Linked DNA regions of Pelodiscus sinensis. The protein of the gene in region 1 purifies or fractionates together with the protein of each later gene. This does not show direct contact. Links are inferred from orthologs where the notes say so. Each region holds a gene or a part of one and is shown in the gene's direction. Other genes may lie near its edges. The genes, in order: EIF3F and PRRC2B.

Region 1 (7,265 bases):
CCTTCCTGTTCTCCCTCCTTTTCTTTGTGTGAGTTCTTGAACTACACCTTTAACAGAACATTAAATGGTCTCTGGTTCAACCATGCTGCTTATTACCCAATGGCTCTGCAGTCCTTTCCTCACCCCTTCACTGCCTTATCCAGTTTTTTGCAACTTACCTCTAGAGTCACAAGACAAGTATCGCTGCCAAATGGGTGTTATTCACTTAAACTTGCCTTCTGCATTTAAAAACAATCCTTGCATAATCTTGGGTTATTTGGAAGAGGGGATCAATGAATAAACTAACACATTTTTGGTCTTCCCAGAAAATGTTTATATGAATAAGCCATGAAGCATACAAAAGGTTAGACCCCTGGAAAGACTTCCAACACTGATAAAAAGAAAGAAAATAACTCAGGAAGCTTAGATCTAAACATGTTTCCAGTGGCTTTCTTTAAAACTGATTTGCTGGAGAAGCACTATGGAGTTACATTCACTAGTTTCAAACCAAGTTACAGAAAGCACCACCTTAAAGATCTGAGGTTCTGTAAATGTGCTTCACTCACCTCACACGAGCACCGACTGGCCAAGTGCATCTTCCTGTGCACTCTCTAGCTGTGTGTGGTGGGTCTTCTCTCACTCAGCCCCCTGGAAAAGTCATACACAGCCTGTTTATGAGAGAAAAGCAATGCAAACCCCTTTGGGAGTACAAGTACAATGGGCCTCCCTGTGCCCTCTGTAATGCGTCTGCTTGTCCCTGCTCTGGAATACAGTGGTGTCCCAAGATTCCTTCCTTGGAGGACATGTCTTCATCCTCTCAGGGCTTTTCTGGCACCAGCTTTTCAGTCAGGCCACAACAGTTTAGTCCACTTCTGGAGTGCCTCAAAGTCAAGGCCACTTCCCAAGTGGATGTGAGTGTGGGGGAGGAGAATTCAGGCCTACCCTTGATTGTGAGTCCCAGCCCAGGGACCTTATAGATAGCTGCAATGCCATTTATTAAAGGGATAATGCAGAAGGCTGCTATAAGTCCCTGAGCCACTTTCCCATGGCTTCCTTATATTCTTCCCCCTTACCTCAGGGACTTGGCCTTGTGGCATTCCAGTAGCCAGCCTGGAACACCATCCACACTCCTTCAATTCTAGCAAGGAACTGTCTTCACTCATGCCTTGCAGCTCATCTTATACTAGCCTGCTGGGCTCTGATTGGCTGCGTCCCACACGGCAGCTTAGGCCACCTCTCTACTGAACTTTTGGAGGCTGGGTGTAGCAGGACGCCTTAGGACCTACTCAATCCTGTCACCAACTGTCTTTTAAAAGAGATGAGAGTAGCATGGCTTAGAGGTTCTAGATAGCCAGGTTTGTCAGTCTCTCCACAGAAACAGTATTTAATAAAGAGGAGCAAGTAATGCAACTCTCTGAAGGTCAGGTATTTATACAGATCTTCCCTCTCCCAAAAATCACTGTAGAATCCAAGCATCTCAGTCATTAATGCATTCATCCTCACAATACTCCAGTGAAGTAAGGCCATATGACACCCCTGATGTTATAGGTGGGGAAACTGAGGCACAGATTCAGAACAATGTCTTCAAAAAGGTATGTAGACTCCTAATTTCTTTTTAAATTGAGGAGATTTAGGCACCTAAAATAACCTTTGAGGGTCTGAGTGGCCTGCCCACGGTTACAGAGGAAACTAATGGAGGACAATTAGGATTCAACAAATGAAATTATTAAGCACAGGTATGAAACAAACAAAAGGAAGTATTTCTTTACACAACACATAGTCAACTGGTCAAACTCCTTGCTAGGGGATGTTGTGAAGGCCAACACTAACAGGGTTCAAAGAAAAGCTAGATAGAGTCATGGAGGTTAGGTCCATCAAAGGCTATCAGCCAGGATGGGTAGGTATGGTGTCCCAAGCCTCTATTTGTCAGAGGTTGGGAATGGGCAACGAGGGGAGGAATCAATTGATGGTTACCTGTTCTGTTCATTCCCTCTGGGGCACCTGTCCTTGGCCACTGTTGGGAGACAGGATACTGGGCTAGAAGGATATTTGGTCTGCAACGCCTCTTGGCTAGTGGAGTACCCCTGCGCTGGGCCTTTGCCCAGGATCTCCCTGCTCTCTGCACCAGCCCCAGCATGCTCCAGCCCCAGCTCCATGCTCTGCCACATTGCCTCCAGCTTCTGGGCTGCTTCTCTGACCCCTGCAGCCCTGCTCCCAGCATGGCTCTGCTGCTGGGCTGTGTCTCTGGGTGCCATGAATCCTCCCAGTTCAGCTCAGGCAAATGTCTCCTTAGTTCAGACCCACTCTGTCTGACCCAAGAAATTAAGCTGTGACAGAGGACGGGACTCACCCGAGCCTCCTCACTCCCTCCTTGGCCTGGCAGTCAGGCTGACATGTAGACTGGACTCTCTCTTTGCTCCTGGGGCTCAGTTTCATGGTTCTGATTTCTCAAAAACCCTTCCCCTTCATTTGAGACTGGGCGCTTACCAAGCAAAATACTCACTGGGTGTGAGTAAGGGGCCAACAGTCTCCTTACATATGAAAATACAAACAATAAGAATTGAGGTAAACAAGGTATTATGCATGTGCCTATCTACATCGCATTTCAGAGTACATAGCAGTTAAATTACTATGAATTCACGTTAAGAGATAATACAGGATGAAGGTCGCAATTGTTGAAAGCTAATTGTTAATGAAAGAGGAAAATAAAATTGCCTCTCTCAGCAGCGATCAGTAAATCCAATCATGCCTGTAACGCATGTGATTTAGGAACATGGGAAACGTGGGCTGCAGACAATGAATGCTGTCTGATAGGATGTAACCTTCTCGTGACTGCGTGTATACACCCCGCCACCCCGCGGAGACTTTCTTATCACGAGCTGAGTGTCAGAGCAGAGCTCTTTAACTGCCCCCCCATCTCTCCCGCTCTTTAACCGCCCCCCCTCTCTCCCGCTCTTTAACCGCCCCCCCCTCTCTCCCGCTCTTTAACCGCCCCCCCCTCTCCCGCTCTTTAACCGCCCCCCCTCTCTCCCGCTCTTTAACCGCCCCCCCCCCCGCTCTTTAACTGCCCCCCCCTCCCGCTCTTTAACTGCCCCCCCCCCCGCTCTTTAACCGCCCCCCCTCTCTCCCGCTCTTTAACCGCCCCCCCTCTCCCGCTCTTTAACCGCCCCCCCCTCCCGCTCTTTAACTGCCCCCCCTCTCTCCCGCTCTTTAACCGCCCCCCCTCTCTCCCGCTCTTTAACCGCCCCCCCCTCTCCCGCTCTTTAACCGCCCCCCCCCTCTCCCGCTCTTTAACCGCCCCCCCCCTCTCCCGCTCTTTAACCGCCCCCCCTCTCTCCCGCTCTTTAACCGCCCCCCCCCCTCCCGCTCTTTAACCGCCCCCCCCTCTCTCCCGCTCTTTAACCGCCCCCCCCTCTCTCCCGCTCTTTAACTGCCCCCCCCTCTCTCCCGCTCTTTAACTGCCCCCCCTCTCTCCCGCTCTTTAACCGCCCCCCCCTCTCTCCCGCTCTTTAACTGCCCCCCCCCTCTCTCCCGCTCTTTAACTGCCCCCCCCTCTCTCCCGCTCTGGCCCTGCCCCTGGGACGGAGGGCAGCCCCCCCCCCCAATGCACTTCAGACACCTCAGCAGCAGGGCCCTAAACCCCGCGTCGCCCAGCGCCTGCCCCTCACGCTGCGCTCGGGGCCCCCCTGCGGGAGAGAAGCCCCAGGGGCCGAGCCAGGGGCCGGGCCGGGCGCCCTTGTGGCTACCGCGCCCCGCAGGGAGCCTGGGCTCGGGGTGCGTCCGTAACACACGACCCCCCCCCCCCCCACCCTGGCTACCTAACCGCAGCCCCGCCCCTTCCGCCACAGGCCCCGCCCCTTCCGGGCCCGGCCACCATGAATTCTCCAAATTCCCCACCCCAGGGGCTCCCTTGGCTTCATTTCTCCGGGCCACGCGGCGGAGCCTACGGCAGGGCGGGCCCAAGCAACACCACAGCCAATGACAAAGGGTTTTGCACACTTTTGGGCGGGCACAATTGTCAGTATCAGCCAATGGTGAAGGAGTCTCTCCGTCCGCCTCTGCCCCCTCCTGGTTGGTTAATAGGCGAGGAGGCGAGCGGGCCTCACATTCCATCCAATGAGAAGGCAAGGGTGGTGACAGGCGTCTGGCTCAGCCTATTAGCACTAGCGTGAAAAATTTCGCCTCTTTCTTTGCAAAATGGCGGCGGTGTCTCCATCCCCGGCCCCGGCCCCGGCCCAGGATCCGGACCCGGTGGCGGTAGCAGCAGCTCCCGCCCCCGCCGCTCCGAGCCCCGCCGCCGCACCGCCATCGGCCGGCTCCGCGCCTCCTGCGGCGCTACCGACAGCGGCCCCGGGCCCGCCCGGCCCCGCCGCGCTGCCCGGCCCCTTCCCCGGCGGCCGCGTGGTGCGGCTGCACCCGGTCATCCTGGCCTCCATCGTGGACAGCTTCGAGCGGCGCAACGAGGGCGCGGCCCGCGTCATCGGCACCTTGCTGGGTAAAAGCCGGTCCCGCCCCCCGGCCCGCCAGAGCCCCCCCGCCCCCCCCCCCCGGCCCGCCAGAGCCCGGCCCCCCCCCCCTCCCCCGGCCCGCCAGAGGCCCCCCCTCCCCCGGCCCGCCAGAGCCCCCCCCCCCCCGGCCCGCCAGAGCCCGCCCCCCCCCGGCCCGCCAGAGGCCCCCCCTCCCCCGGCCCGCCAGAGCCCCCCCCCCCCCGGCCCGCCAGAGCCCGCCCCCCCCGGCCCGCCAGAGCCCACACGCTCCTCGCCCCCCCCCGGCCCGCCAGAGCCCACACGCTCCTCGCCCCCCCCCCGGCCCGCCAGAGCCCCCCCCGCCCCCCCCCCCGGCCCGCCAGAGCCCCCCCGCCCCCCCTGCCCCTCCCCCCGGCCCGCCAGAGGCCCCCCCCGGCCCGCCAGAGCCCCCCCGCCCCCCCTGCTCCCCCTCCCCCCCAGCCCGCCAGAGCCCCCCCCCGGCCCGCCAGAGCCCCCCCGCCCCCTCCCCCGGCCCGCCAGAGCCCCCCCGCCCCCTCCCCCGGCCCGCCAGAGCCCCCCCGCCCCCCCCGGCCCGCCAGAGCCCGGCCCCCCCCGCCCCCTCCCGGCCCGCCAGAGCCCACACGCTCCTCGCCCCCCCCCCCCCCCCCGGCCCGCCAGAGCCCACAGGCTCGCGGGACCCGGGACCCTCCTCCCCACCGCACCAGGCTCGACAGAGCGTCCCCCCGCGGCCCTCCTACTACCCGGCCGGGTCCGACAGATTCCTCTCCACAACTCCGGCCCTCTATCTCCTCTCCCACCGCGCCGAGCTCGGCAGAGGCCCCACTCCTCATTCTCCAACTCCCTGGACCCCATAGAGCCCCCCCTCGCACCCCACTCCTCATTCTCCAACTCGCTGGGCCCCACAGAGCCCCCCCTCGCACCCCACTCCTCATTCTCCAACTCCCTGGACCCCATAGAGCCCCCCCTAGCACCCCACTCCTCATTCTCCAACTCGCTGGGCCCCACAGAGCCCCCCCTAGCACCCCACTCCTCATTCTCCAACTCGCTGGGCCCCACAGAGCCCCCCCTAGCACCCCACTCCTCATTCTCCAACTCGCTGGGCCCCACAGAGCCCCCCCTTGCACCCCACTCCTCATTCTCCAACTCTCTTGGCCCCACAGAGCGGGCCCCCTTCCCCCCACTGGGCCAAGCCTGACAGAGCGCCCCCCCCCCCCAATCTCCGGCCCTTTTTCTCCCCCACCGGCCGTATCCCGCTATTTCTCTCCCCCGCCCCCCCCCCCCCCCGGTTCCCCCACCGACCATCCCCTCTCCCCCCCCCCACACACACCTGCGTTTGTAGGCTCCCCAGGTTGGTCCACATCCCCTCCCAGGAATGACCCCAGGGAGTCTGAGCTGCCCACAGGGGTAGTGGGTCTGGGGAATATGATCCCGCCTGGCACCTTCCTCAGGCTCATTCTCTGCTCTGCAGGCACCGTGGACAAACACTCAGTGGAAGTCACCAATTGCTTCTCTGTCCCACACAATGAGTCTGAAGATGAGGTGAGTGGTGGTCTGGGCCTCTGCTCCCTGAGCACTTGGTCACAGCGAGTTGGGTGACTAAATGGCATGATAGCACGTGAAGCACTTGGCAGTCTCCAGTGGAAGATGTGGACTCTTAGTGGGCTAGCTGCATGTGCCAGGACAAGTGCCTCATGCTACACTTAGCATGGCTTTCCTGCATTTCACCTGTTGTCTTTGGGATTCTGAAAGGCCTGGATCGGTCGGTGCCTGAGTTAGTGCATGTGACTCTAGAATTCACTGTGTCTTGTGTGACTAGAGCAATCAACATGTGTGGTATATTGGCAGGGGCTTTCTGTGAAATCCTCCCACATTATCCTAGCATACGGAGGCCAATGAAGCTCTAATTCTGCTTGTGGTGAGCTGGTAACTACTAAAGGAAGATTTTTCTGTAGTCCTGGTTGGCGATGATAACCTGTTTCACTGCTTGTTGTTTACTTGCTCCTGCAGCTCATTGCCTCATGCTGCTTTGTTCTGGTTCTCAGGTGGCTGTGGATATGGAGTTTGCCAAGAATATGTACGAGCTGCACAAGAAGGTTTCCCCTACTGAAATCATTTTGGGGTGGTAAGTCATATTCCCTGCTGCAAATGTATAACTGACCTGTGCTTAGCAGTTGTGTGGCCACATTATGCACCTTGAAATTGTGTACGCTGCATTGCTGCTTATTCAAAATTTACATTTTGTTGAAATGACTGCTATGGATATAGAATATAAATATCAAGAATGGGATACGTTGTTTAAAGGTAAAACTAGGTGTTGTGGGAAATGAATAAAAAATATATAGTTGGGCCATATCTTCTGATACTGGACTTTTCATCCAAGCATTGTTGGGAAATCAGGTGAAGTATTGTAGGGAACTGCACAGCATAGACTTCTTGAGAGTGGAATGTGGAGAACTATAGTTGGTTCCCTACAAACTGAGGCTTTGTGAACCAGTTTTCATTTGTTCCTGAATCACTGAACACTAGAACTGGAAGGCACCTCGAGAAGTCATTGAGTCCAGTCCCATGCCCTCATGACAGGGTGCAGTACCATCTAGACCAGTGGTGCACAACCCATGGGTTGCAACCTCCAAGGGGATCGTAGATGTCTTCCTAGGGGGTCGCCATAGTGGTGGATAAGCCCCAGCCTCCCGAATCTAAGTGCCGTGCTGCTCAAATTACCTTGGGGGTTGTGACATAAGTACAATGAAATATGGGGGTTGTGGTGCGCAACCTTTTTTTCAACCACTGGTCTAGACC
Region 2 (7,357 bases), on another chromosome or scaffold:
ATCCTTTCTGTGACGGGGAGGGCAGGGGGGGCAGAGGGGGCAGAAATTGGATGCAGTACTCCAGATGTGGCCTCACCAGGGGAATAATCATTTCTCTAGATTTGCTGGCAATGCTCTTCCTAATGCACCCTAATATGCCATTAGCCTTCTTGCTACAAGGACACACTGTTGACTCATCCAGTTTCTCATCCACTGTAATCCCCGGGTCTTTTTCTGCTGAACTGCTGCCTAGCTAGTTGGTCCCCAGCCTATAACAGTGCTTGGGATTCTTCCGTTCAAGTGTAGGACTCTGCACTTGTCCTTGTTGAACCTCATCAGATTTCTTTTTGCCCAATCCTCCAATTTGTCTAGGTCACTCTGGACCCTATCTGTACCAAAAACGTATCTTCCTCTCCCCCAGCTTAGTGTTATTGCTGAAGGTGCAATGCATCCCCTTATCCAGGTCATTAATAAAGATGGTGAACAAAACTGGCCCCAGAACTGACTCCTGGGGCACTCCGCTTGACACCAACCTCCAGCCAGACATCAAGCCATTTATCACTAAGCCCAACAATCTAGCCAACTTTCTAGCCACCTTACAGTCCATTTATCCAATCCATACTTCTTTAACTTGCTGGCAAGAATACTGTGGGAGACCATATCAAAAGCTATGCTAATGTCAAGATATATCATGTCCACTGCCTTCTCCGTACCCACAGAGCCAGTTGCCTGGTCATAGAAGGCAATCATGTTGATCAGGCATGATTTGCCCTTGGTGAATCCATGTTGACTATTCATGATCACTTTCCTCTCTTCCAAGTGCTTCAAAATGGATCCATTGAGTATCCCCGCTATGATTTTTCTGGGGACTGAGGGGTGGTTGTCCGGTCTGCAATTCTCTGGATTGTCCTTCCTCCCTTTTTTTAAGATGGGTCCCACTCCTTCCCTGGTCACCCTCTTATTGCTAACATGCCTGTAGAACCCTTTAATGATTCCCTTCACATCCCTTGCTAGCTGCAATTCCAATTGCGCTTTGGCCTTCCTGATTACACCCCTGCATCTCAAGCAATATATTTATACTCCTAGTCATCTGTCCAAGTTTCCACTTCTTGTAAGCTTCCTTCTTCTGTTTAAACTTGCCAAGGATTTCACTGCTAAGCCAAGCTGTTCACCTACCGTATTTGCTTCTCTTACTGTGCATTGGGAGGTTTGTTCCTGTGCTTTCAACAAGGTTTCTGCCAACTCTCCTGGATTTCTTTCCTCTTCATGTTAGCATCCCAGGGTATCCTGCCCACCAGTTCCCTGAACCAGTCAAAGTTTGGTTTGTCTGTTTGTGTGTCTCACTGTTCCCCAGCTGGGGGACATGCAACCCTCCCCCTGCTGTACCCACTGCAACGGCAGCAGCCATGGACAGGAGCTTCTCACCTTGTCCCAAGCTGCTACAATGAAAGAGTTCTGAGATTGTCCTGTATACTCAACCCATCATTCCTCACCCCATCCCAGAATCATGATTTAAATGAAGAAAAACAAAATTTATTTGAGTTAAGGCCCTGAGCAATGCCAGGTAAATCTTCTAGTTTTCAGTAAATGTGGTGTATTGCCTTTTCCCCTGAAAAAGATCCTGTGTGCTTCTTATAAGTATAACATCCTGAGAGTGGAGGGGAGAGATCTGGGGGTACAACCTCATCTGCTCTAATCCCACTCTCATCCCACTGACAGAGACCATAAACTTCAAAATCTCTACCAAATCATTTGTAAATTTCAATTACCCACCCGGGGAAATAAAAAAACAAATTGAAAGAGCCAGACGAATACCCAGAAACCATTTACTTTAAGATAGGCCCAAGAAAACCAATAATAGAACACCACTTGTCATCACCAATAGCCCCCAACTTAAAACCCTCCAACGCATTATCAATAACCTACAACCTATACTGGAACAGGATACTACAATCCGAGAGGCTCTGGGGGACAGACCCATAGTCTCCTATAGACAACCACCTAACCTCAGGAAGATTCTTACCAACAACCACAGGACATACCACATTAATACCAACCCCAGAACTTTCCCTTGCAACAAACACCGCTGCCAACGTTGTCCACATATTTACTCTGGTGACACCATCACTGGTCCTACCTAACCATGTCAGTTATATGATCAAGAACACATATTCCTGTTCATCCAGAAATATAATTTCTGCCATCATGTGCCAACAATGTCCTTCTGCTATGTATATTGGACAGACTTCTCAGACACTTCGCCAAAGAATTAATGCCCATAAATCAGACATCAGACATCCTCACAAGGAAAAACCAGTTGTTTTTCATTTCAGCCTAGCTGGACATAGTCTTAACGACCTTACTATGTGCATCTTACTTCAAAGAGACTTTAACACCAGATTACAGAGGGAAACTTCAGAACATTCATTCATGCTTAAATTTGACACTTTAAGAATAGGCCTTAACAAAGATACTAATTATCTTCCCCATTACAAGATAGCTTCCCCACTTATCACCTCTGATTAGCCATTCATTGACTCATAAGTAGCTATTCCCTCCCTCTCTCCCTCTCACCCACCCCACCTTCTGTACTAAATCTGATTTGTCAGTTTAATAATGTGTTCACTTTTTTCATTGTATTCCTCTGATATATATGGTTATGCCAATTCTCTTCCAGAATATGATCTGAGGAAGTGGGTCTGGCCCACGAAAGCTCATTACCTATTAAACCATCTTAGTCTTTAAAATGCTACATAGTTTTTCCTTCTTAAGAGAGAAAGTTTCAATGTTGGAGCAGGAGATGATGAAGATTGGTACTGAAACCTCCTACAATAACAGTGCATGGTAGAGTGATGGGCACCAAATATGAATGTCATAATAAAGGAGAATTAAATTTTCTATTGCTATCTTATTATGTATCCCAATGTAAACAGGAACATGCTAGGCAGAGAGGGGAATTCTCTGCTGGCGACAGTGATTTCCTGAGGTATAAAATCAAAGAAGAATCATGTGTGAGACATTAAATTTAGGTAGGAAGAAAAAAAGGCTCGGTGTTTGACAGGTATCTGGCAGCCAGTGTGAAATGGTCTCAGGCCACTTCTTACCAGACAGGTATCCATGCCACACAACTGCTACTACATCTGCCATTAATAGGACTCCTTGCTGGCTATCTTAATAAAGGGAGATGGGTTATGGAAAATGAGCTCCCATCTCAGTGTTAAAAGGGTGGTCACTCCATGGCAAGGCTGCATTAAGGGGTGCTGTATCATTGCCAGTTTGGGAACTGATTTAATGTTTAGAGAGCGGGGTGAGAGAGACAGAAATTCCATGGCTTCTCACTTTATTGAGAAACTGCTTCCTCCTTTGTGCATTCTGGGCTCAATCTAAAGCCCTTGCAGGCAAGGGAAAGACTTTCCTCTTCCTTCTTTCCTTAATTGACTTCTTCTCAACTTTCATATCATATCTGCCTACAATGAGAAATGGGAAAGCCTGGTATTTGGCTGCAGCTTCTTGACCAAACCTCCTGTCCAGCCTAGGCTTCTCTCTCACTTTTGCATGCACATCTAATCACCATGGGGCTTTTTATTGAAATCCAAAGAATAGTTTCTGCCTGACTATAAAGTAATCCTGACAACTGTAGAGCTCCAGGATCCCAGAGCTGCCCCTGCCAGTGTCTGCCTTGGCAGGACCAAGCTCCCATCCTCTCCTCCTGCAATCAGTTTCATGACCCCTCTTGTGGGCTGTAATCAAGGTGCATACTGTACTGTCCTCTGCCAGAATCCCTCAGGTTTTGGGAATCAGAGCAGAAGAGAGCTCCCCAGAGCAGAGGCTGGAGTTAGACAGTTCTGCAGGCACCTCTGCATCTTTCCCAATCATTCTTCCCCCTTTTTCTCATGTCTTTGACTCTTTAATTCTCTTTCTCCCGCTCTTTCTCCTCCCTCTCCGGCACGCTCCCTCCTTTCTATCTCTTTTTCTTCTCTCGTTTTGCTTTCAACCTCCTCGCCTCTATCGTTAACCCCTGTGAGGCGCGGTGCGCCTGGCTTTCCTCTGGAGTCCCTGCAGGTGTCGCTGTCCGGTTTGTACGCCTCTGGCTGCGGGATGAGTTGCTCACTCCAGGCCGGGGATTGACAGGCCGTGCAGGAGCAGGGGAGGGGGGAGGACTGGAGGAGGAGGAGGCAGACACAGAGAGGCAGCGAGAACCTGCAATCCAGGCAGCGCCGCCTCTGCCTTTCAATCCGCAGCCATCCTGCTCCCTGAGCCCCCATCTACCCTCCTGACTCGGCTCCCCAGGCAGACCCGGCTCCCGACAACCACCACAGGTGGGTATTGGGGTCGGCTGGCGGGGCTGAGAGGTTTTATTCAGGGTGGTTGATGCGGCGGGGGGGGGATGGGACCAAGGCAGCCCTAAAATGGAGCCTGAGCCAGAGGCTGCCTGGAGCCCGGAGGGAACCTGCCCCAGGCTTCCCCTCCCCCTCTGGTCTCCATTTCAACCCCGTCTCACTCATTCACGCCACCCCCCCCCCCCGGCTGTAGCGGGCCGGAGCCCAGCACCCCAAACGCCGCCTTGCCCAGCGTTCCGTGCCCGCTTCGGCCCAGCCCGATCCCCGCTTCAGACCCGTGCGCCCCGGAACAAAGCCGGGGGATGGAGCCCCGGGGAGCCCCTCAGGGCGCTTGACCCCGGGTTCGGAGGGTTGGGGGGTGTGTGTGTGTGGGGGGGGGGATTAGCCTCTGGTCTCCCCCAGCTCAGGAAGCTGGAGCCGGTTTGTAGGCTGCAAAGCCCAGTCCGCGATGGAGCCTCCCTCGGTTCCCAGCCGCAGATGCGGGGCCTTGCGAGGCGGCCCCCACGCCCAGTTGGGGGCTGAGAGGCGTGGGGACCGGGTTCACCTTTCAGGCTCTAATACATCGGGGGGCTTTGTTTAGCTTGGTGGCTTGCTAGGTTAGCCCGTTCGGATTGTGGGTGGGTTTTTCTTCAAAGAAAACCCCCGTGTATTTGAAGGCTTCAATATCTGAGGAAGTGGGTCTGGCCCACGAAAGCTCATCATCTAATAAACCATCTTGTTAGTCTTTAAAGTGCTACATTGTCCTATAGGTGAGAGGATTATTCTGGGAGGGGTGGGTGAGATTCTGTGGCCTGCACTGTGCAGGGGGTCAGACTAGATGATCATAATGGTCCCTTCTGAGCCTAGAGTCTATGAGTGTTCAGCCTCATTGTTTTGGTTCTGCACTCGGGTCATGGGAGGCCTGATCCATGTTGCTGCTACTGTTATTACAAACTGCTAAACCCTCCCCCATCTGGGATTATTAAACTATACGCGCTACAGTACAGTTCTGTCTCCCAGAGCTTCCTGCCCAGCCCCCATTGCTCTGCTACGGCACACACGGTGGTGTATGAAACAGTTTCATTTAACACCGTTGTGCGTGTTATTGACTAGTCGATTTTTGGGGTGGTCTTTTTTGCAAAGGCAGTTGAAAATCGAAATCACTCTTTTGATTTGACAGCGATCAGATTCTTGTTGCAGTGGATGTTTCAATAAGCGTTTGAAGCTCAGCTGAGCAGCTCCGATTGTTTTATTGTAGCTGTGCAAAGAGGTTCCAGAGACTGAAATGCAGTTTGTGGGGGTGTGTTTACAACGCAGCTTCTGAGGCTGTGAAATGCGGTAGGGATGTTTCTGGTGTTTGATGCTGGATCTTGGAAGATGCATGTGGTTTTATTAAAAATGTATATTTTATTATTAACAAAGATTTTACTACCTCTGGGTTCGTGGGGGTGTGTGCTTGAAACTGGTCCTGGCTCTATAGATAATGTTGTTTCCATGCATCTCATAAGAATATGTGGATATTTCGGTTAGCAGAACTGTGTGGGCTTTGTGGTTGCAAATGTTATTTGATCCTGAGTTTTGGGTTTTGTTATGAAAATTTTTCCTCAGAGGTAGAAAAGACTCTGGGTACAGAAAAGGTGATAGAGCAGCAGAAATTTTGGAGGCAGTGATTGTATTTGATGGATTAATACTTTCATATAATGATGCATTTTTATGTTAACAGTATTAATATTTGGCAAAATATATACAAGTTATGAAAACATTTAAGACCCTGTGTCTCTTTCTAGAAACTGCATGGGAGGATGGGCATTGATCCTGAAAGCTGCAATACTTCCTCTTCATTATTAGCAGACAGTGCCCCTCATCTTGCAGAACTGAGTCCTGAATAAGGATCTATAAGTTAGTTTAGAACTTCCATGGCAGTAGTGCCTGCATGCCTCAACTAGAGCAGCAACTGTTGTGTGAGGTACTTTGCAAACATAGAAGATGATAGTCCTGGTCCCCAAAGAGCTTGCATTGGAGTGTTGGCATATGACAAGTGGATTTGCCAAATATAAACTTGCAGGATACTACTTCAGGACCTGAATTTTTCTGAAATACTGTGCATTCGTGTCATCCATCCATAACTTCAATTGGAATCGTGGTTGCTCAATGTCTAAAAGCCAAAGTTTAGGGACCAAGGACTGGGATAAATTCACAGGGGTAAGGGAAGGAGGAGCCCTGAGTAGCTAAAACTTTAATTGCACTTTTGCTTCTGTAAATAATTTGGCCCTGATTCTCAGACCTACAAGTGGGTAAAACCTTGGGCCTATGCAGAGCCCCATTGAAGTCAGTGGTGTGGTGTTCAGGGTGGGTGGAGAAGTCATGTTGCTCCTCATAGACTGAGGTCTTTAGAGATTTTTTTCCCCCATCTGTTGTTTGAGGTGTGAAGGATTAACAGGACTTCATTGTTAATCTTTATTTTCATGATGTCCTTTCTGAAATGTGCTTTCACATTAAGGCATAAGAAGATGTTGTCAGGTTAAAAATTACATTAAAAGTTCATAGAGGATTGGCAAAATTTAAGATTAAAATCAAATGTATCTTTCATTGCTCTTTCTGAATTTTTCTTTTTGAACTTAATTTGACTTTCACATTGAAGAGAGGATGGTCTGTTTTCCTTTTCACTTGACTAGTCAATTAGTTGTTAAAGGGAGTGAAACTGCATGGTTAGCTTCTGGGCTGGGAGCTAAGCCCTCTGTGGCTCTGCCTTTTAAATGTATTAAGAGCTGCAAGCGCAGCAGGGTGGCTGGGGGATGGGTTAGGATTGTGAGCTGGGAATCAGTTCCCAGTGCCCTGCTATGCCTCTGCCTCTCCTGCCCCCCCACCCCGAGATGGTGCTGGGGGGAACCAGCTTTTAAATCCTCTCCCCGCAGCACGAGCTCCTGCCCCTTCTCCCAGCTTCCTCTCTCTGATAGAGGCAGCAATGGGCGAGGGGAAAGCAACTAGTTGAGTCTCTAGTTGCCTATTAGATAAGCATATGCTTATCAGATAGTCGACTAGTTGCTTACATCCCTAGT

What was found.
Region 2: the proteins of EIF3F (region 1) and PRRC2B purify together in Homo sapiens (affinity purification with mass spectrometry; 3 studies listed by BioGRID and IntAct, counting the BioPlex papers as one, with this or other methods). This does not show direct contact. The link is inferred for Pelodiscus sinensis from reciprocal best matches to the Homo sapiens genes EIF3F and PRRC2B.

What each region holds. Positions count from the first base shown.
Region 1 is NC_134718.1:4,170,504-4,177,768, reverse strand, and holds the start of EIF3F (eukaryotic translation initiation factor 3 subunit F), read left to right. Parts: upstream 1-4,161; 5' UTR 4,162-4,176; coding exon 4,177-4,474; intron 4,475-5,934; coding exon 5,935-6,005; intron 6,006-6,508; coding exon 6,509-6,588; intron 6,589-7,265. UniProt on the Homo sapiens protein: Component of the eukaryotic translation initiation factor 3 (eIF-3) complex, which is required for several steps in the initiation of protein synthesis.
Region 2 is NC_134732.1:14,401,870-14,409,226, forward strand, and holds the start of PRRC2B (protein PRRC2B), read left to right. Parts: upstream 1-4,122; 5' UTR 4,123-4,298; intron 4,299-5,091; exon of another isoform or gene 5,092-5,636; intron 5,637-7,357.